3 linked regions of the Arabidopsis thaliana genome follow. The protein of the gene in region 1 interacts with the protein of each later gene in a pairwise test. Each region holds a gene or a part of one and is shown in the gene's direction. Other genes may lie near its edges.

Evidence for each region.
Region 2: the proteins of NAC003 (region 1) and CIB1 interact in a two-hybrid assay, tested with the Arabidopsis thaliana proteins (one large-scale study listed by BioGRID).
Region 3: the proteins of NAC003 (region 1) and NF-YB13 interact in a two-hybrid assay, tested with the Arabidopsis thaliana proteins (one large-scale study listed by BioGRID).

The regions. Positions count from the first base shown.
Region 1 is NC_003070.9:426,749-434,921, reverse strand, and holds NAC003 (NAC domain containing protein 3), read left to right. Parts: upstream 1-4,201; 5' UTR 4,202-4,354; coding exon 4,355-4,508; intron 4,509-4,605; coding exon 4,606-4,853; intron 4,854-4,924; coding exon 4,925-5,071; intron 5,072-5,145; coding exon 5,146-5,460; intron 5,461-5,551; coding exon 5,552-5,674; intron 5,675-5,822; coding exon 5,823-6,020; 3' UTR 6,021-6,272; downstream 6,273-8,173. Other genes in the region: AT1G02210 (NAC (No Apical Meristem) domain transcriptional regulator superfamily protein), read left to right, coding at 7,111-7,374.
Region 2 is NC_003075.7:16,495,331-16,503,043, forward strand, and holds CIB1 (cryptochrome-interacting basic-helix-loop-helix 1), read left to right. Parts: upstream 1-3,060; 5' UTR 3,061-3,135; coding exon 3,136-3,438; intron 3,439-3,541; coding exon 3,542-3,802; intron 3,803-3,889; coding exon 3,890-4,024; intron 4,025-4,117; coding exon 4,118-4,189; intron 4,190-4,283; coding exon 4,284-4,454; intron 4,455-4,550; coding exon 4,551-4,616; 3' UTR 4,617-4,844; downstream 4,845-7,713. Other genes in the region: KCS18 (3-ketoacyl-CoA synthase 18), read left to right, coding at 1-395; AT4G34540 (NmrA-like negative transcriptional regulator family protein), read left to right, coding at 5,176-5,352, 5,489-5,623, 5,802-6,039, 6,144-6,347, 6,436-6,602. UniProt on the Arabidopsis thaliana protein: Transcription factor that binds DNA to G box 5'-CACGTG-3' and, to a lower extent, to E-box 5'-CANNTG-3' in vitro. Binds to chromatin DNA of the FT gene and promotes its expression, and thus triggers flowering in response to blue light.
Region 3 is NC_003076.8:7,745,153-7,752,660, forward strand, and holds NF-YB13 (nuclear factor Y, subunit B13), read left to right. Parts: upstream 1-3,877; 5' UTR 3,878-4,125; intron 4,126-4,189; exon of another isoform or gene 4,190-4,230; 5' UTR 4,231-4,238; coding exon 4,239-4,293; intron 4,294-4,447; coding exon 4,448-4,537; intron 4,538-4,623; coding exon 4,624-4,787; intron 4,788-4,880; coding exon 4,881-5,051; 3' UTR 5,052-5,460; downstream 5,461-7,508. Other genes in the region: TGH (SWAP (Suppressor-of-White-APricot)/surp domain-containing protein), read right to left, coding at 1-439, 601-745, 1,032-1,106, 1,281-1,367, 1,452-1,527, 1,756-1,895, 2,040-2,108, 2,231-2,292 and 4 more.

The DNA.
Region 1 (8,173 bases):
CAATATATAAAAACGGTAAATTTGTGATGAGAAGTCCGAGAAGAGAAAGTTGGATAATTTTCAATTCATACACGATACAACTAATAAAATGGTCACTTTCTTTGACAAAAGATGAAAATGATCACAATCAACCTTGAGGCTATAGTCCTACCTAATCCCCACAAAAGATGTCAGGTTCTCAACAAAAGGAAACAAGGATAATATCAAATCAAGATGCTTCGATTTTAATAATGTCAAGAGTTTTCTATAAGACTTTTAGTCTACATCTTACGTGCAGCATATTGTCACTTTTATCTTTGAGTCCAAACCCCATTTGACTGATGCTAACTTTTTGTTTTCTTCCTCATTTTGAGATTTTTTATTTTATTAACAAATAATGAACAAGATTCTTTGGCTAAATACAACCAATCCAAATCAAAATCATTTCAGCAAACTGTTACCAAACATTTCTCTAAAATTTAAAAAAAAAACAAAAAAAAAAACATTTTCTCTAAATCTGAAAGAATATTTTATGGCCAGAAAATATTATGGCCTTAGTTGAAAGTTGAAACTGTGCCTTGGTTGAAAAGTATGCACGGCGCGTGTAATTAAAATGCTTCCACGTGGCCCAATTAGCTCACATATTTTAGATTTGGTCGTTGTTGGTGTTTGGTAACATGTCCTGGCCCACCACTACTTCACTGTTCAATTAATTAATGAAAATCCTAAATTGCAACTTGCTAATACTTTAGCTTTACTACTCCTTGGTAACTCTTATAACGAACTAATAAGCTGTATTTAGCAAAAAAAATTACTAAGTAGGAGGAGGAGTATTTGGTTGGAGCTGTCTAGTTCTTTTATCTACGCCTCCTACGAAGTTTCCTATATACAAAATCATTATATGTGGTTTACATTTTTACATCGTTTGCTTCGACATAAATAATGAACTATCGAATTTAACAGAGCAAAAATAGAAAAAAAAATGTGGGATTAACAGCGTAACTGTCACATGATAAGTGCAATAATTATATGTCAGTCTTTTGATTAATGTATATTTTAAAAACTTGCAACTTGCAAATACTCTTTTCCCCTCTTTTTTATATTAAAACTAAAATATAAACCTTTTCTATGCCATCCTGCAAGGCAGATTTGGGCACTATCACAAATTCCTACGGCCCCAAGGATTTTTCCTTCGAATTCAATTTTTACGAATTTGGATCATTTGTTTTGGAGAATTCCTTCAGGCGTCGATTCGGCTTCTTACCCATGGATAATTTGGTATATATGGAAAGCAAGAAATGAAAAAGTTTTTGAAAATGTGGATAAAGATCCAATGGAAATATTGCTCTTATCGGTAAAAGAGGCTCAATCGTGGCAGGAAGCTCAAGTCGAGCTCCATAGTGAAAAACATGGTTCCTTGTCTATAGATAGTCGAATTCGGGTGAGGGATGTATCACAAGATACAACTTTTTCTGGCTTTCGGTGTTTTATTGATGGATCTTGGAAAGCAAGTGACCAGTTCTCAGGAACAGGATGGTTCTGTCTATCATCTCTTGGAGAGTCGCCAACCATGGGAGCCGCCAACGTTCGTAGAAGTCTATCTCCTCTACATACCGAAATGGAAGCTCTTCTTTGGGCGATGAAGTGCATGATTGGAGCAGATAATCAGAACGTAGCTTTCTTTACAGACTGTTCAGACTTGGTGAAGATGGTGTCTTCTCCAACCGAATGGCCGGCGTTTTCAGTGTATTTGGAGGAGTTGCAAAGTGATAGGGAAGAATTCACAAATTTCTCTTTATCTTTAATTTCTCGTAGTGCAAATGTAAAAGCGGATAAGTTGGCACGAAAGATTCGTACCGTACCGCATCATGTCACGTATGTAAACAATATCCCTCGGGATTGGCTCTTTTGAGGTTTAATTTATATCGGTTGACAAAAAAAAAAAAAAAAAAAAAACTAAAATATAAACCAAAGGGTAAAGATATTTTGTGGGAGAACATTTTTCTTATTCATGAACCAAAGATGACGATAAAGCAATGTATGTATGTTATATGAGTAAATATATATGATTGTGACAAATGATGATAACCAAACTTGCCGCGTGTTTACCATTCCAAAACTGACCTACGCCGTCGCATATAAGATATAACCTTTTGAATTGTCTTCACTCTTCAGCGTCACAAACTCACAATTTACAATCTTTTTTGGCTCACACAATTTACCCAACTTACACTTTCTTTTCTGTGCAACAACTTAACTTACTTTATTAAATACATTAATACACCATTAATTTTTGTGATAACTAGAAACGTTAGGTATAACCGTATAAATAACACAAATTAGTTTTCATAGCAACTAAAGACATTTCCATCCATAGTATTCACACATTTTTTTTAAAAAAAAGGTAAGTTTCTAGAATAGTAGAGTTTTTAGTACAAAAGGTTCATAATTGAGAATCTATATATGAGAACCCTATATATGTAAAACTCTCAAAACAAAAAATAAATAAATATATTAGTAGTATTTTATTTGAGAAACTTTCTATAAGTATTTCATCAATAAAGATGCTCAAATTGCGATAATCGTTTTACAAAAAATTCTCATCAAGTGATCGCTCACTCTGCATATGCGTATATAGCATGCATGTCTATTCTTGTTTTTATTTTCCCCCATTTTTGCAATTTAATATTCACTTTGTATGCTCTCTTTAGATTATTTCTGGACCTGGTAATCTGGTATATAGCATGCATGTCTATAAATATTTAATTTTTTTTCCCCATGTCTAGCCTTATATATAAATATTTATCCCCAAATCTTAAAAGGGCTTTAGATTATTTCGGCTTACGGCTTCTACGAAGCTTCCTATTAGTATAACTGTCAAATGATCCGTCCAGGGACCATTGGGCGTGTCCGTAGGGACAATTCTTTTTATGGGTCAAGTTGGACGGTCCATAATGGACAATGGTCCGAAAAATGTCCATGCCCAATAAAGACCATGTCCATATGGGCAAGCCCATGTATAGCCCATTTTATTATTGATAAATCAAAAATCATGATTTTAAAGAATTATGTTTTTGCATTTTGCATTTTTCCGACAAAACGGTAAAATTGTGTTTTTCTTACCAATACAATAAAATCACGATTTTGGCGGAAAAATTATGAAATTGTTTTTTTTCGCCAAAACGGTAGAATCGTAAAATTGTTTTTTCTCGCCAAAACGTAGAATTGTGTTTTCTCACCAAAACTGTAAAATTGTGTTTTTCGCCAATATAATAAAATCACGATTTTGGTAGAAAAATTGCGTTTTCCCGCCAAAACCGTAAAATCGGAGAATTGCGTTTTCCCGTCGAAACTGTAAAATTGTGTTCTCGCCAAAATAATAAAATCGCGTTTTAGAGGAAATTTGCAGAATTACGTTTTTCCGTCAAAATCGTAAAATCGGAGAAATTGTATTTTTCCCTCAATTCATGCCCATGGGCAGCCCATTGTCCATATGGTCAAACTCATATTATTCGTGGACAAAACTGGTTATATGCCCAATTGGACCATTTGTTTTATGGTCCAGAATATAGTTCGTCCATATGCATTTGGACTGGGCAAGTTCATGAGCCGCCTGTCTAATTGACAGCTCTACCTATTAGCATAATAGCATATAGAGATACTTTTTGTCATCGTATCTATGTTTCTGTTTCTACATAGATAACGGACGATCGACGTTAACGTTAATCATTATATTTATTTTTTTTGTGGGCAACGTTAATCATTATATAATTTCCAAATGGGCCAACAAAATATAATAAAGAGAAACATCAAACAAGTTCAAGAAAGAAATGTAATTTCGTCGTTACGTGTTGGGCGAAACTACCGTCCCATGATGAAAAGATATGTCACTATCTGATTAAATTTATGCAAACTTGCAGCTTGCAAATCCTCTTTTTCCACCCTCCTTTTCTGATTGATATTTTTTTAACAAGTCACACAATGTAAGAGAATTTATGGGGAATATTTTCAATTTCATGGATTGAAGATTGGTATGGTCGTATGGAAAAAATAATTACAAAATTTATAAGACAAGTGATAAACAAACGCACCACGTATTTACCATTCCGAAACTTAACCCTTTGAATGTCCTGTCTTAGCGTAATCGAATTCGACAAGTATACCGTCATGACTATTTAATATTTTTACTCTTTTATTGTTGTATTATTTTTTTTATTTTTTTGAATTTGAGAATTTCCGCATAAATACAAAACCCTATACGTCTTTCTTCTCCATCATTTTAAGTTGCAGAAGAACATCAACCATGGCGAAAGCTCTCCAATGCATATTTTTTTGATCTTTTCCTTTTCCCTTCTTTTTTGATCGCTGCAGAGAAATGGAAACTCCTGTGGGTTTAAGATTCTGTCCGACCGACGAGGAGATCGTCGTCGATTACCTTTGGCCGAAAAATTCCGATAGAGACACGAGCCATGTCGATCGATTCATTAACACAGTCCCTGTCTGTAGACTCGATCCTTGGGAGTTACCTTGTAAGTCATTCATATCACCGAGTGTCGTCCTTCTCACTGTTCAATCGAATCATCCGCTACTTTCTGATTTTAGCGTTTTCTCGTTTTGGTATGGTAGGCCAGTCAAGGATCAAACTGAAAGATGTGGCTTGGTGTTTCTTCAGACCTAAGGAGAACAAATATGGCAGAGGTGATCAGCAGATGAGAAAAACGAAATCTGGGTTTTGGAAGAGTACTGGCAGACCAAAGCCTATCATGCGTAATCGCCAACAGATCGGTGAGAAAAAGATTTTGATGTTTTACACGAGTAAGGAATCCAAATCCGATTGGGTTATACACGAGTACCACGGTTTCTCTCATAACCAGGTACTCTCTGTTTTTTTTTTGTGTTACTTACTATTGCTGCGATTCTGAGTTTTTTTATCGAATTTTTGCAGATGATGATGACATACACACTCTGTAAAGTTATGTTTAATGGTGGCATGAGAGAGAAGTCTTCCTCTTCTCCTTCTTCTTCTGGTGTTAGTGGAATTGAGCAGAGTCGTCGTGACTCTTTAATCCCTCAGCTTGTCAACAATTCTGAGGTGGGTTCATCTCAAAACTTCTTTTCTGTTTTAAATCTGACAACGACTTCTTTTGCGTTCTCCCCCTTTTTCAGGGATCCTCACTTCACAGAGAAGATCCAAGTCAGTTTGGTGATGTGCTGCAAGAAGCTCCAATCGAGGATGCTAAACTGACCGAGGAATTGGTAAAATGGCTGATGAATGATGAGGATGATGCTCAAATCGAGGATGCTATACCGATTGAGGAATGGGAAACATGGTTGAATGATATTGATGATGCTAAGGAGAAGAGTATCATGTTTATGCATGATAATCGAAGTGATTACAGACCTCCAAACTCATTAACTGGTGTCTTCAGTGATGATGTTAGCAGTGATGATAATGATTCTGATTTGCTAACTCCAAAAACAGTAAGCAAATTTCTACTTTTGTACCTTTATAATCCTCTGTTTTCGTATTTCACCTTACAAAGCTCAAGTTTTTGTTTCATTCATTTGACAGAACTCTATTCAAACTTCGAGCACTTGTGATAGTTTTGGTAGCTCAAATCATCGCATAGACCAGATCAAAGACCTGCAAGAATCTCCTACCTCAACAATCAACTTAGTGTCACTAACTCAAGAGGTGAGCTTTCTTATCTCTCTATCTTTCACTGAGGCAAACAATCCTTAATGCTACTTTGTGCCATCACTACTAACAACACAAACAATCAATGATGCTACTTTGTGCCAACACTCATTACAACGACTTTGTTTCTTTGTTATGATTCAAGGTGAGCCAAGCTCTAATAACCAGTATTGATACCGCCGAGAAGAAGAAGAATCCTTATGATGATGCACAAGGGACTGAGATTGGTGAGCATAAATTGGGTCAAGAGACGATCAAGAAGAAAAGAGCTGGTTTCTTTCACAGGATGATACAAAAATTCGTCAAGAAAATTCACCTATGTTCTTCCATCTCAAGAACTTGATAACAATAAAAGTGATCAATAACACCTTTTCTACTTTCCAAATTATTTACAACAGTACAAGTGTATGCTATGATGTCTATCTTGGTTTGTAACTTTACCATACTGTATGTGTGATATGTATAAAACTGGTAAATTTGTGAAGACAAATTTGTATCCATTGACATAATAATGTCTATCTTGTTTTGTTACTTTCTCATCTTGTATGTATGCTCCATTGTGAAGACAAAGTTGTATAATTTCTGCTCATACAGCTAACCAAATGCTCAAATTTTATTTGACGTACCCTATCAAGTATCAATCAACCTCGAAGTACTATTCTAGTCCTACCTAACCCCATAAACAAATTCCATTCAACGAAAGAAAACAAGAATAAATTTCAAATTAAGATGCTTCATTTCAGTAATGTCAAGAGTCTTTTTTTGGACTTTCAAGTCTACATCATATATGTACACGTGCATGTTGTCATGTTGATGGCTAAATCCAAAACCCATTAGACTATTGTTTATTTGTTTACATTATCCTATATCATGTAATTTTAGTAATCTTTCTTTTTCTTCTACATCACTTTCATTCTGTTTCTTGTTAATTCCTCTGTTTCGGCGTTCAAAGACTTTGCTTTCGTTTATTATACATCAAATTACGTACCTTATTCGTTATATCTTCTTCAGAATTAAGGAATTTTTTTATGTTGCCCAAAAAAAAAGAATTTTGTTTTTCTAAATTACCTACATATAAAAATTGTAAACCCTATTTTGCATTTTTCATCGCTCTCTATTGTTTTTAACTTTATGGGTTTATTCGATAAGAATGAAATATCCGGCGGATTTCAGATTCCGGCCGACAGATGACGTTATCATCGAATATTACCTCCTGCTAAAACATCTCGGCATCAAGGAAGGCAATATCATCATTTCATTACCACCGTTAAAATCTCTAGTTACGATCCTTGGCATGTGCCATGAAAGTTTTGGTCAATTAATGCTAGATCATGATTTTCTGATTCAATCATTGATTATAGGCTGATTTCTGATTTAGGTTTTTTTTTTTAATAATTATTATAGCCAAATCAAAGAGCGAGTGGGCTGATACTATGGTATGGTTCTTCTTTAGTTGTGATGAATATAACGAAGAAATATTGAAAACGAATTCGGGTTATTGGAAAGAAACTGTATCCAACACACCAATCATTGGCAAGTGGATAACTAGTAATGGTGTTAAAATTGGTGAGAAACAAGTTTTGGTTTTCCAATCGTATGAAAACATCAATGGATCCAAATCCGATTGGGTAATGCACGTGTATCAACCAACGTTTTTGCCTCCTAATCAGGTAATATTCCGAATTTATGATGTTTAATCACCGTGTCCTTTTTTCTCAACGATGTTATGAGAGAATCTGCCGATTAGCCCTAAAACAATCAAATTTTAGGTTATTTGGTACATATATATATATATATATATATATATATATATATATTATCTTACTTAATTAACACGATCATATATTATATCCTATTTGGTTTAGGTTGTCGAGAAATAGTTAAACAAATCGTACGTGCATGTTATTTGTAAAAATTACCATCCATCTTAGTTAAACTATTGCCTAAAGCTGAGAGTGTTGTGTTTCAAACATCAGGACCACCTCTTCAAATCACAATCTGATATATCTCTACACAATGGTTACTAAGATACATGTCGTATATTTTCTTTATAAATTTGTTAAAAATAAAACTTGAAACAAAGATCAGCCTGAGTAGGTTCAATTTTTGTCTACGTGTGGTATATGATCTTATACGTAGAGTGAGTTTGAACGTTTTAGTGAGATATCTTATGGGCTTTGACGACAGAGAGCATATATTGTCTGCAAAGTAGAGTTCAAAAGTGAAGATAAGGAAGGATATTAGTCGTTGTGGTAAATCTGGTATAATTGAGCTTAATCACTCTTCAACCTCTCGTATTGACCATAACGGAACTTGGCTACTAAGGTCGGTTGAACATTGATTAGTTGTGTCATTGGATATGAATCTTTTGAATATAAAAAGATATGCGCCTACCACTTCTATTTATATTTAAAATATTCATGAAAGGTCGTGAAATATAGTACAACAAAGCAATACTATAATAGAAGAAATTTGTAAAAAGATTTTAAAGATTCC
Region 2 (7,713 bases), on another chromosome or scaffold:
ACTATGTTCCGGATTTCAAGCTTGCTGTTGACCATTTCTGTATTCATGCCGGAGGCAGAGCCGTGATCGATGAGCTAGAGAAGAACTTAGGACTATCGCCGATCGATGTGGAGGCATCTAGATCAACGTTACATAGATTTGGGAATACTTCATCTAGCTCAATTTGGTATGAATTAGCATACATAGAGGCAAAGGGAAGAATGAAGAAAGGGAATAAAGCTTGGCAGATTGCTTTAGGATCAGGGTTTAAGTGTAATAGTGCGGTTTGGGTGGCTCTACGCAATGTCAAGGCATCGGCAAATAGTCCTTGGCAACATTGCATCGATAGATATCCGGTTAAAATTGATTCTGATTTGTCAAAGTCAAAGACTCATGTCCAAAACGGTCGGTCCTAATTTGATGTATCTGAGTGCCAACGTTTACTTTGTCTTTCCTTTCTTTTATTGGTTATGATTAGATGTTTACTATGTTCTCTCTTTTTCGTTATAAATAAAGAAGTTCAATTCTTCTATAGTTTCAAACGCGATTTTAAGCGTTTCTATTTAGGTTTACATGATTTCTTTTACAAAATCATCTTTAAAATACAGTATATTTTTAGTTTTCATAAAATATTTAAAGAAATGAAAGTTTATAAACATTCACTCCTATTCTCTAATTAAGGATTTGTAAAACAAAAATTTTGTAAGCATATCGATTTATGCGTTTTGTCTTAATTAGCTCACTAAATAATAAATAATAGCTTATGTTGTGGGACTGTTTAATTACCTAACTTAGAACTAAAATCAACTCTTTGTGATTGTTTGTTCATCCAGCTGACCAGCTCTGTCTGCCGTCTAGGTTATGTGAAGAAAGTTATATTCCTGGTTGTTTAGATTTAAATATAAAAATGGATACTTTAGTTTATGTATGATTTTGAATTGTTTAGATTTGAAAGTAGGGAAGCCCATAAAATTCAATTGATAGTTGAATAATTAAAAATGATAAGTGTCAGAGAGTTGGAGCAGTCCCCGATGAGCCTACATCAGCCAAAAAAAGACACTCATATTTTCATTCTTTTTTTTGGCTAAAACTCACCTTATATATCTGTTTATTTCAAAAGATGCGTTTTTCTTACTTTTTACAACATGAAATCTTTTATTTTAAGGAAATTATAGTAACTAACCGTAGAATACAAAAGAATGAAAAAACTAACTATGGAGCAACGGGTCAGAGACAATTTTTATACATTTTTCATTTATATAACAATAACTCATTTATCATTAAATCATTTTTATAACAATAACTAGTAACCATAAAAAATATAAATACTTCTTGGATGTTAAGAAAAAAAAACAATTCTTCTTTTGACGAAAAAGACTTCTTAGGAAAGTTGTATACCTTTAAAATACATGCAAGTTATATGAAAGTTTATAAAATTCACAACTCTTCTTTATTTTAAAACCCAAAAAAAAAAAAAAAAAAAAAGTCCTCTTATTTATACGTCTAATTCCCATGCATATATCGAGAATAACCCATCATATAGGAATTAGGCTCCCATCATGTGATCATGATTCATGAGTCATGACCATTGGATCTCCCCTCATTATTGTTCCATCAGAAATTTCTACGTCGATGATATGTTTCTAATTCTAATTTTTTTTACAGCAATTTCTAATTCTAATTAAGAACTCTCCCATATACAAATTGATATAGATATCTTTTAGTAAGTTAGTAACAACACTTAATTAAACATAGATAAATATACGTGCACAGATCAATTCTCCAGTTTAAGGAAAGAAATTGGATAGATGTATTTAAATACTTTTGTATAAATAATATAACTATCTCCAATACAACACACCGAATCAAATGTCAACATCTACATACATGTCGACATGAATTTATGAACATATATGTACAAGGTGATGGGGAACCCACAAATTAGGTGTGTGGCTTTACTTTTTTTAGTGTATGCATGTATAGTATGATAGGGAGGGAAATAGCTGATCATCATCTTCTATGGACTTAGTCCAAATTCATCACATCAAAAGGCAACGACCATGTCTTTGTTTCTAACAACTTTACACCCTCCCCTTTCCTTATCTACTAACTCCATGTATCTGCTTTAAAGGTTAATATATAACTGGACTAAGCAAAATAAAAGAGAGTTGGGTTTTCATTATAGAATCGAGAAGATTTCATGTCCCTATATCAATCACATAAAGCGTTTTCCAATAACATAAAAAGTCGGATAAATGAAAATATTTGAGAATCTAAAACAATGTCATATATACTTTAATGGAAGGTCCTTTTCTTCGAAATATTTGCTCACCGAAATCGGTGAAAGTGATCTAAGACTAAAACTAACTTGTGAGTAATTCATGTGATGGGCCTTCTGCATCGAAAAAGAGCATGGCGATCACGTGGCAGCCTCTCTTGCGCCGTCTCAGTATTAGCCTATCACGATAGAGTAAGCCAATGTATACAGCATGGCGATCAGACACATGATGATGATCGATCTGAATAACAAGATTCCGAAGGATGTAATAAATTCATGTGAACAGTGCTTCGTAGCTAAACTAAGACCAGAGCTATTGAAATGAGGTAAAGTGTTTTCTTTGTAACCCCATTTTAATTAGGTGAAATATCTAGCGCACACACCAATCTGATTCATATAATCATAACTAGCTTGTAAACTACAAAATTATTTTTCATTGTGTTACAACTAGACCATTCCCACGTGACCATTCACGTGCTCCTATAATGAAAGAAACCTAAAGAAGAGACGCTCCAATTCGCATAGACATCCCAAGCTTATCCTTTCTTAGTGAATCAAGATCCAATTTACACTATAATACATGCATATATTACGTAATAAATGTTTTATAAGTTTTCTGTGTCACTCACTATTTTTAGTTATTTTCTCAATTTTCAATCATCGCAAATATCAATTATCACAAAACATATAAAGTTTCCAGATTTGTATATGGGCCTACCTTATTAGATGCGATGAATATGGACTAAGTACAGAGCTGATGGTTTTTGTTATAAATATCGTTTCCTCTTCTACCCTCACCTTTACTCTGTTTCTTTCTCCACTCTCTCTCTCTCTCGTTGCAAGCAACTTGTTTTCTGAATCCAAAGAAGACGATAACGATGAATGGAGCTATAGGAGGTGACCTTTTGCTCAATTTTCCTGACATGTCGGTCCTAGAGCGCCAAAGGGCTCACCTCAAGTACCTCAATCCCACCTTTGATTCTCCTCTCGCCGGCTTCTTTGCCGATTCTTCAATGATTACCGGCGGCGAGATGGACAGCTATCTTTCGACTGCCGGTTTGAATCTTCCGATGATGTACGGTGAGACGACGGTGGAAGGTGATTCAAGACTCTCAATTTCGCCGGAAACGACGCTTGGGACTGGAAATTTCAAGAAACGGAAGTTTGATACAGAGACTAAGGTTCGTGTGTAAAGAAAACTTAAGTTTAAGTTCTATAAATGAAAAAGAAAACAGATCTTACTTTGAGATTTGGCTTATCTGTTTCTTCTGTGTGTGCTTTTAGGATTGTAATGAGAAGAAGAAGAAGATGACGATGAACAGAGATGACCTAGTAGAAGAAGGAGAAGAAGAGAAGTCGAAAATAACAGAGCAAAACAATGGGAGCACAAAAAGCATCAAGAAGATGAAACACAAAGCCAAGAAAGAAGAGAACAATTTCTCTAATGATTCATCTAAAGTGACGAAGGAATTGGAGAAAACGGATTATATTCATGTTCGTGCACGACGAGGCCAAGCCACTGATAGTCACAGCATAGCAGAACGAGTAAGAGAGCCTCATTAACTAAAATTCATTAACTTTGTTTTTTGTGTAATCATTGAGACTAATTATTAAAGTATTAAATTTGTGAAGGTTAGAAGAGAAAAGATCAGTGAGAGAATGAAGTTTCTACAAGATTTGGTTCCTGGATGCGACAAGATCACAGGCAAAGCAGGGATGCTTGATGAAATCATTAACTATGTTCAGTCTCTTCAGAGACAAATCGAGGTCTGAAAATTATTTCCATTTATAGAAAATATGTTTTAAAGACTAATTTTGCATTACCTTCCTAATTTGTTATCAAAATATTGTTTAAAACAGTTCTTATCGATGAAACTAGCAATTGTGAATCCAAGGCCGGATTTTGATATGGATGACATTTTTGCCAAAGAGGTTAGTCATTGATTTGTTTATGCTTATATGAAAAACAAAACTTTAAAGGCTATTTATAGATGAGCTAAAATACGCCATGTGGATTCAAAACCAGGTTGCCTCAACTCCAATGACTGTGGTGCCATCTCCTGAAATGGTTCTTTCCGGTTATTCTCATGAGATGGTTCACTCTGGTTATTCTAGTGAGATGGTTAACTCCGGTTACCTTCATGTCAATCCAATGCAGCAAGTGAATACCAGTTCTGATCCATTGTCATGCTTCAACGTAAGTCATATTTTTAATACTCTTTCATTATGATCTATCCTTTAGTTTAACTTTGGATATGATAATTTTTTACTAAATATGTTTTGATTGTTACAGAATGGCGAAGCTCCTTCGATGTGGGACTCTCATGTGCAGAATCTCTATGGCAATTTAGGAGTTTGATTAAGAAACCAATCCACAACATAACAATGTTCCCTAATTCAAATTATTCATCGGAAGAGAGAGCAAACCAGTAGCTGTTATTTACTAATTCCACTAGATTATTGACTTGAGATCCCCCGCCCATTAGTTGATGTATCAAAGAGTGTAGACATTATTGTGTATAATTTGCAAACCAGTCCAGTAATATATTTCTTATCGGTGGACTTGTGTCTTTAATTCAAGGTGTGTTCTCATCTTCTTGTGGTGAATGATCATCCATTAGTATTTTTTTTTTTAGTATACAATGCCACAAGTCATGCGACCATGAAATCAAGAAACAAGACACCAGTCGTTTAACGTTATGTTTTACATCTTATCACTAACAATCTTCTAATCTATGTTTTGGTTACTTTGAAAAAGCGGGACTAATCCCAAATTTAAAGCAATTGAATAAACAACACCTGTTAAGCGTGGCGGACAAAACGACGACAATGTAAGAGAACTGAGTCAGAGATTAAAACCTATGACCAACCCATTGGAACTAAACTATCCTAATTCTCTATACGGAGAGTATATATAAATGGAGGAGGAGAAGAAGAAGAGCAGAGTTTTGATCATCGGAGCAACAGGAAGATTAGGGAACTATTTGACCCGTTTCAGCATCGAATCGGGTCACCCGACTTTCGCTCTCATCAGAAACACCACTCTCTCCGATAAGCTGAAATCTCTCTCCGACGCCGGCGTTACCCTCCTCAAAGTCTCTCTCTTTGCAATATCTCTGTAATTTCCTCATTAGGGTTCTTCTGTAGATTCTTATTGGGGGACTTCTCTTTGAAAAAGTCTTGGCTTTTTTTGCTTGTTTTCATTTGGATTTGGTTTTTGATGGGTTCTAGGGTTCATTGGAGGATGAAGGAAGCTTAGCAGAAGCAGTGAGTAAAGTAGATGTGGTGATCTCTGCAATTCCATCAAAACATGTTCTTGATCAGAAACTCCTCGTCAGAGTTATCAAACAAGCTGGTTCCATCAAGGTCTCTTCTTATATCTTAATCATGGATTTTTTTTTGTTACACCAATTCGATCATGTCTTAAGTATAGATCACATTGTAGTATTGTTTAATATTGTTCTTGAATTTACTTTTGGCTGATGATGAGATTGAGAGGATAGATATCTAACTAGAGCAGAACATGGATTAATTACTGTTGCAGAGGTTTATTCCTGCTGAATATGGAGCAAATCCTGATAAAACTCAAGTCTCGGATCTTGATCATGACTTCTATTCGAAGAAATCAGAGATTAGGCATATGATAGAATCAGAGGGGATTCCATATACATACATTTGCTGCGGACTGTTCATGAGAGTTCTACTTCCATCGCTTGTGCAACCGGGGCTTCAATCTCCTCCAACAGATAAAGTCACAGTTTTTGGAGATGGAAACGTTAAAGGTTTGTCCTTATTGCTCAATTCTATAGCTACAAGTTTTTGCAAATATACAATCTTGTGGTCTGAAATTTGAGTGTTTCTTTTTTCTGTGTTGTTTTGTGTATAGCTGTTTTCGTGAATGATGTCGATGTTGCAGCATTTACTATCAAGACGATAGATGATCCTCGAACACTGAATAAGACCTTGTACCTTAGCCCGCCCGGAAACATATGTTCCATGAATGATCTTGTCGAGCTCTGGGAGGGCAAGATTGAGAAGAAGCTTGAGAAAACGTTTGCTACAGAGAATCAACTTCTCAAGAAGATCAAAGGTTCATCATCATAACATCATCAGCACATCTACTAACATATTTGCAAAACTGTTTTTTTAAACTTGAGCTTTGTGTTTCTATGATGCAGAAACTCCATATCCGGATAACATGGAGATGGTATTCATATACTCTGTCTTTATCAAAGGAGATCACACATACTTCGACATCGAGTCTTGTGGTGGAGTGAATGGTACTGAGCTTTACCCTGATGTCAAATACATGACCGTGAGCGAGTTTCTTGATACTCTTCTCTAGAATTATAAACCAAACAGCAAAGGGATCACTCTCATTTTTCAGAGTTTACCTTTTACACTTCCAAAATTTCTCTGTTTTTGAGGGCTGAATCAATCTATCTCATGTAGCACTATCTTTACCCTATTGATCTGAGTTTCGACCTTAATCGTGTAACACATTACTTCTGCAGTTCTGATGATGGTAAACCTCAACTGTTTACATGGTAACAAGATCATAGGTATTAGGTTCATGCCTTGATGTCTTGAAATATAGTAATTCACCACAAGAAAATCACACACTAAAGATCACAACAAGAATAAAATTGTTTTTAAGGATTTAAGAATTTGATTTACGAGAGGTTATTGAGAATAAACTTCCAATAGAGTTGGAGTCAAATCCAACTAGTTGGAACTTAATTAGAAGCAAGCTTAATCATTTACTTGAACAACAGAAGAACAAAAGTAGATGAAAGATATTTCCGATATTTTACTTAAGGTAGCAAATAGACACAGCGCGAAAGGAAGCAACTATGGCACACAACGGAACACGTCAAATGCGTATTTAAAAGAAATAGTTATATAAAAAGAATGTGATTCTGAGAGCGTAACCAAAATACGAGGTTAAGACTTCAGAGAATCGAGTGATCCTGGTTCTGTATATTCCGACAAGACTAACCTTTATTCCTCTGCCTCTTCTTTATTCTTTTTTTTTATTTTTCAAAAACAAATCACCAGTTTAAGTCTCTGTTTTCGTTTTCTTCAACCTTCAAACGCAAGATATTTTTGCTTGCAGAAAAAAACCGAACCTCGTCTTCGAATTTCGTTTTGTTCCTCCACTTAATCGGCCACTGACACTGTAATATTTCTCTCTAATCTCCCTTCAGTTTCAAGCATTTTCTTAATCTTTCTATGCACTGAGTTTTTGTGATTACTCTTTGTTGTTTGCCTGGATTCTTATCCGTACAAAAATGCTCTGTAACCAAAACAAAAAAAATGCAAGTGAAATTGACAGGGGTTATGTGTAATTCTATGAACCAAGATTCGAACTTGTGTAGAATTTGATGCAGATATGTATACACTAAACGGTATTTCACAAGTTGCATGATGAGATTGGGACCTAACCATGAAAATTT
Region 3 (7,508 bases), on another chromosome or scaffold:
GGAGCCTCCAGAAGAAGCAGAAGTATCGGTTTCTTTCAAACTTCTCTGCAATGGCTTTTCCCCTAATAAGCTGCCACGTGTTTCTGCAGTCATTTTCTGTACGGTTGGAGACACCTTAACATCTAATGTCAGCTTACTTTGATCTTTACGCTTTTGCTGCTCCTCCCACAGCCTTCTTGCGTAGTAGTCATGACCGTTACCTTCCCGAAGAAAATCAAACAGCTGATTTGATTGGTTCTTCTCTCTAGAAAGATCCTCGTATAGTTTCCCGCAACGGGAAACAAAAGTTGCAAACCCCTCGATCAGAAGTTTCAGATTATTATCTGCAGGAGGAGGAACTTCCGGAGGAGCAGAAACAGTTGGCTTAGTTTCAGCCTCAAGAGGACCAGAAAATTTATGCCGGGCCACAAAATCCTTCGGGATTATCGGAGGATTAAATCTGATATAATATACAAAACACACAATGATATGAATTAGACTATCTGAATGTAAGTAGCCATAATCAGAAAATTCTGAGAGTAAGAGCTCTATTAGACATGCAATTGTGTGATGACATTGATTTAACAATGTCCTCATGTTTGTGAATCATTGAAACATTACCTCTCCATACTGTAGTCAGAATTCTTAGCAGCTCCAAAACCTGGCAGAACGTCATGCTCTTTTGAGGTTAACCTCAGTCTATTGTCATTGCTCTGTCTTGCTGGCTGTTCGTCTTCTATGACATAAGTCTGATCAAAATCGTAACCTGAAAGAAAAGAAAAACACTTTGGTATTGCAGCATATTCTGAGAAACAGGAGGTTGATAAATCCAAAACTAGCACTTCAAATTGTCAAGAAAGTATTTACACCTATAACCAATATTATTCTTTTACAAAAGCAAATTACTTTTACAACATACAGGAGCTTTAAATTAACGACTGTGGGACAATGGTTTGTAATCTTTAGAATAAATAATAGTTCAACCTGAACAGACACTTATGCATATATGAACAAAGAAACCATGATTAGTGAAATTGCACTTCTGTCCTTACCAGCATAGACATCTTCATCCTCAACATCAAGTTCCTCAAGTGCTCCAATGCCAAAACCCGGAGCAATCTTTCCTGCTGATTGTTCAACTCATGTTAGTAACTAACAAAACCCATAAGTAGTTTTCACGCAACAAGAATGCCAAGTAAAAGCTGGCATAGAGATACGCTATAGATGCATGTAAGTATCTTTAAGCAAAGAAGAGAAAATTAACAAGAAAGAAAAGAAAAAATGGTGAGTCAAAATCTTACATTTGGGTCCAAAAAGACTTTCCTTCATTGATAAAGGTTTTCTGAAACCAACCTCCTTATTGGCAGACATGCGAGATCTTTTCTTTTCTACAGATCAGAATAATGTGAAGCAAGTCAATGACCAAGAATGCCCTGTCAGCAGAAACATCATAAAAAGTCCAAACTAGGTACCTCTAAATTCAGGAGCATGCTTAAAAGGATCATATCCTAATCCATGCAGATCTTGCTTTGGATTCAGAACATATACCTGCAATCGATAAAGGGGGAACAAAGGATATCATCAAAATCAATGTAACTAAGGGTAATATCTGAAGAAGCTCAGCAGCAGATTAGAAGCAGTATTCACAGTCCGACGTTAATAAAAAGTAGAAGAGAAGTTCAAGAAAAGTATGACTAATAGAAGTATCACACCAGTAGCGATTACAATCAACAACATATAGCTCGTTTGAAAAGAGAAACAGGAAAATTGACTCACAGGAGTGCTTTCAGAAATTTTAATATCTTCACCCAGAGAAGTTTCCACTTCAGTCTCAGAAACAAGCGAGTCGGGCGTTTCCTTTGTATTCTCATCAGTATAGAAGGCTAAGAATGCTTTTCTAGCTTCTCTACGAGCATCTGCACCAACAAGGTATAAAAGAGAGAGAGAGAGAGACGAAATAAAGAGCTTGCTGTGAATTTCCAAAATAGAAAAAGTATTGACGGCTTTTCTTGGTGCACAAAAGAAGATTATGGATTAGTGCATGTTAAACAAGTTCAAACCTGAACTGGCACGCACTTCCTTTATTGAATGACCACGCCGCCATCCCATCTTTAGCAAAAGTTTGACCCCTGAAAAATATAAAGAAGCATAAATGTGAGATCAGGATTTCTCCACTTGATGCATTCGAAAATAAAGAAAACGAAAGAAAAGGAACTTTTGCAAAATATTAAAGAGGCTTATTGAAACTAACCAATTGACTCTGAAACTGGAGCAACAAGTTCGTCAGGAACAGGGCCAGGAATGGCTGATGGCCTGTGATACAGAAACAATATGTTACAAATATATAGATAGCAACTTCTTATAAAAAACAGACTACAGATAAGTACACAGACCTCTCATGCTGTTCTTTCTCAGCATGCTTGCGGGAATGTTCGGCTGCCGTAAACCCAAATGTGTCAAATTGTGAGCTCGCAGACAGTGATTTGCCCTCCATATCCTAAAATGGAAAAGGATTTAGAATGGTGTAACATCGTTAAATATGGTGCACATCTTCCACAGAGCAAAATATAATTCCCAAATCCACACTCCATTTTACCATTGATAAAAGTAACAGAAGAATCATGCAATATGCGGTAATCAAACTTTGACAAGCTTAAAATAACTCGAAATAAAGCTTTAACAGATCTAACAAGGAGAAAAAGATGAAACATACCGCCTTTTCATCTTCATCTAGAAAGTCTGAAATACTTTGCTTTCTCGCTCCAGCTCTGTTCTGCCTTGATGATGTAAATGACTGTGGAGCCCAGCCTGAAGTACGATTTAGATTGTAAACAGCATAGCACAGATAAAAAAGCCTTTGAAAATCAGGTAATGTAAACTTTACCCTCTTTTGATCCAACTGTATTGTAATACCCAGCAGAATATCCACCAGTAAATGCTCCATGGAACCTTCTACGGCCTTCTTCATCAGTCACCTGAGTATGGTAAAACTCGAGATGTTAGCAACTTTCCACATAATAGTACAACTATATACAGATAGACTTTATTTCCAGTAAAAACTCATAGTGGAAAGCTGGACAACGAATTCTTGCAATATCATGCATCCATTAGTAAGGACACAAATTTTCATCACAGATTGCTTCAATTAGTTTGCAATTAGAGACCAAGGAAGATGCCACATACATAAATACATATTTCAAAATGCCTACAAGGCAAACACCTAAATGCAGATAATCAATCTAATAACTATCCATAGATACATTAATAAGCAAAAACAAACACAGCAAATAACAAAAACTCAGAATCTAACTGTCTAGCATGATTTTGAGTATTAAATCAGCTCCAGTAGAGACATTCACTTCGATTTTCTTGCTTAAGGTTAATTTCATTCCGGGATACTCACAAATTTTCAAGCTGATTAAGCTGAAACGGGAATGCCTCAAAGTTATCCCTTACCTTACTCGACATAAAACCTATTAAGCTCTCTACAATACGTTAGAATCACGAAAACAAGCACAACGAAAAAACTCCCATGTTCATGGCCAAAGCGAGTCTCTCGAAGCTCAAATTATCTAATCATCTGCAACTAAATAGACGAACTAGAAGATCAAAGAAAAACTCACCTCTTGCTTCCAAGCAGGGAGAGTTCTAAGATTGCCAGAAGCCCCAGCGACTGCTTTCTTCTTCCGGCTTGCGATTTCTTCTTCGCGCTCTATTGGCGTTCCATGAAACACGAAATCTTCCTCGTCTGACCCCATTGTCTTCACCACCGAGACCGAGAGGAGCAGCAGCAATTCGAGATTCTGAACGAGTCCCAGAGAGAAGAAGAAGAAGCAGAATCAGAGAATTATGGAGGAGATATCTGGGCCTGGTTCGGGTCTCTTTTCGGCCCATTAGTTTTGTTTTAAAATCCAATTGCTATAAGGAAGTTAAAGTTATCTTCACGCGCCGTCTCTAAGCGTTGTAAAAGAAAGTGTGATTCACGCGCTTTGCTTCTTCCGTTTGCCCTAAACGACTCTGCTAGAGAAGACGAAGGAGAGAGAAAATCCCTCCGATTATATTCCGTACAATCCGATCGATTTCCCGGCGCCAGATCTCACCGCGACTCGTCTACTTTCCGATTTGGTTCGTGTTGACTCAGTTACGGTGAGTCGATTATCTCTATCTTCTCGTTTTTTTCCGATCTCCCCTTGATTTGCTCTTTATGCAGATCTTCGTGTACAAGCACCTTTAACCTGATGAATTCTGTAGATTAAACTATGGATCCAATGGATATAGTCGGCAAATCCAAGGAAGACGCTTCTCTTCCAAAAGGTTAGTGTTATTGCTCATTGATCATTAAATAGGAGGATTTGTAAACCTAGCTATATATAACTCTGCTTGAAGGTTATAGGATTCATGAGCATCATAAACTTCATTTTTTTATTATCTTGCTAAGAATATGTTTTGTTGTTCTCTATTGTTTTAGCTACGATGACTAAAATTATAAAGGAGATGTTACCACCAGATGTTCGTGTTGCAAGAGATGCTCAAGATCTTCTCATTGAATGTTGTGTAGGTAAGATCATATAGTTTCTCTCTGAGTTCATCTATATATGTGAGAGTTCTTGGTTTTCTTACTGTGGTTTAAAACATTTTTTGCAGAGTTTATAAATCTTGTATCTTCAGAATCTAATGATGTTTGTAACAAAGAGGATAAACGGACGATTGCTCCTGAGCATGTTCTCAAGGCATTACAGGTTCTTGGTTTTGGAGAATACATTGAAGAAGTCTATGCTGCGTATGAGCAACATAAGTATGAAACAATGGTAATGATTCTCTACTTTCTTCTCCTACTCTTGATAACGAGGAGACGAAAAAACGATTAATGTTAACCGTTTCCTACATTTGTGACTCTATAGCAGGACACACAGAGGAGCGTGAAATGGAACCCTGGAGCTCAAATGACTGAGGAGGAAGCAGCAGCTGAGCAACAACGTATGTTTGCAGAAGCACGTGCAAGAATGAATGGAGGTGTTTCGGTTCCTCAACCTGAACATCCAGAAACTGACCAGAGAAGTCCGCAAAGCTAACTGAAACCGTAAGGGTAAGTGTTAGGCAAGAAAAAACAACATCCTTTTAACATTCCCTTGTAAGTTGCAAATGCGTATGTTCTCTGTTTATATGCTCTTAGTATGATATATGTTAGTTAGTGTTTCACGATCTAAAAACACTTGTGATTCAGATGTAATTAGTAAGCATTCCTTGTTTTGTGTTTACTTGTGTCTTGACTAAGCATGGTGGGTCAGGTCTACACAAAGCATCTGATTCGATGACTTACAGGAATCTTAATGTTTGTAGATTGGATAAATTTGGTGATTGGTGTAATTGTTTTTCCATAAACACAATGCAATCATTGTTTAGTGTTGTTAACATTTGCCCTGTGATTCTGACGCGAACCGAGAATACTGTACTGAGCCAAACATAGATTTTTGGTTTTCGGCTAGGTTTTGGTTCTCTAGGCTGAACCGATTGGCGTACTTTCAATTTGCCTTCAGTAACCTGCGAATTTCGGTTCGGTTCGACATTGGTTTCTCAGATAGTTATTTGTTTCTTAAAGAACGGATTATACCATTATTAGACCGTTTTTTACCAAAATTTGATCGGGTTTCGCAAATGATTACGAACCGATTTTAGAAAATAAAGAAGGAACCAAAACCAAACCAAATTGAATTTCTTTTCGGTAACCAGTTAGAAGAAATACTTCGGTTAATTGATAACCGGAAAACTGACTTGGTTTGTATGTTTTGTCTTTGTCATTAGTAGAAAAAACATAAACTGATGAAATTATTTAATAGACTCTAGTTTTCCCAGTCTCAAATTTTAATCTGTTCGTACTAAATAACTGATTTGTTCATTAAATATATAGTTCCTTACAAAGCAAAAGACAAATGGTTCATTAATATTTTAGTTTCTTACTAAAAATGTACATAAACTGATGAATTATGACATCATTAATTAAAGTATATACTGTAAAAGGTAGGATGACTTTTGACCCCAAAAAAAAAGGTAAGAGGAGTGAGGGAGAGTCGAAGAAGGGGAAGGTACTAGCAGGACCATCACCGGAGTGACGTGTCAGTTCGCAGGTTTCTGTTTACTCTGCACCCGACAACTAATAAGAGAATCAGAACAGACCTATTTCATATCTTACTATTTATGACGTCAATTGATCCTAACTATATAACTTACGTATTTATTTGTAACATTATTATACATTCCTTTGTATTATTATAACAGTATGATTTTATTCTTTGATATACAAAGACAAAGCCTGTCGAATGTTGTATTCCTCTTAATGGCCCGTCACACCAATCTTTATTTGAGAATATTTCGTACTGAATCGAGACTATTAATGAATAGTTGTATAATTGAATACATTCATCTTTCCATGATAAACCATACTATAAGTGTTAGACAATTACTTGAACCTATCTATAAAGCATAAACTTAAGTATCCATGTACCAATTGATATCGAGTCTTGTTGTATGTTTAACTTTTTTTAATGACGGATTGTTGGAAACCTGTAGTGGTTGTATGGATAATATGTGTACTAATTACTATATTATCTAACATGCACGATTTAAGTTTCGTATTAGTAAGTGTTGTTACAGTAATATAAGGATAGTGACGTCAAGCCGCTTGTGCCAAATTATTGTCTTGCGTTTTTTACCAGGAAAAGTTGGAAAAAAAAATCTTACTTTTACTGCCAACAACTAGAAAAACAGTTCTCAGAACTATTTGCTTTAACATGGTTAAAAAAAACTAATAACCGCATACAATTCAAAAAGTGAGATGGAAAAATAGAGAGTACAAGAGGTTCAACAATTCACTTGCATTTGTTTCAATTTAGAAATGTTTATATTCTATGTTGCTTTTGATACTTAATCTTTACTTTTTTTTTCCCTGTCCATTGATTTGAAAATAAGTTTGAAATCATCTACGAATCTTTAATATGATTAGAGATTGTATAATATGTACAATAAAGATTTGATATAAAGAAGAAAGGATTTGATATAAATGTACTATATTTTGGTAAACACTCCACTCTTTTTTTTTACTGTATAAAAGATTGAAGTCAAAAAAAGGGTTTTTGAGTCAAACAAAATTGAGGGTCTTTGTAGATTACCCCACATAGAAAATGAAACAACACACACACTTTGTCCCCAGATTCCTTTCTTTTGTCTCATTTCTCGTGTTTCTCCCAAAGTATTCAACAAAAACACAATCCTCCTCTCCACTTATTCTCTTAACTTTATATTAATACAACTGAATCAACCATTCATATAACTAAAATAAACAAAAATCAACATTTACAAAATTCAGCACCAAGCTTTTCTTGTATATTTATACTTTTTATATATTTTCTCCTAAATACATATTTTGCCTTGGCTCAGATTTATTAAATTCATATTGGCAAAAGGTTTTATTGGTGGTGTTGAGAGGAATGGAAGAGATAAAGATGTAAATGAAAGAAAAAATATTTCTCTCC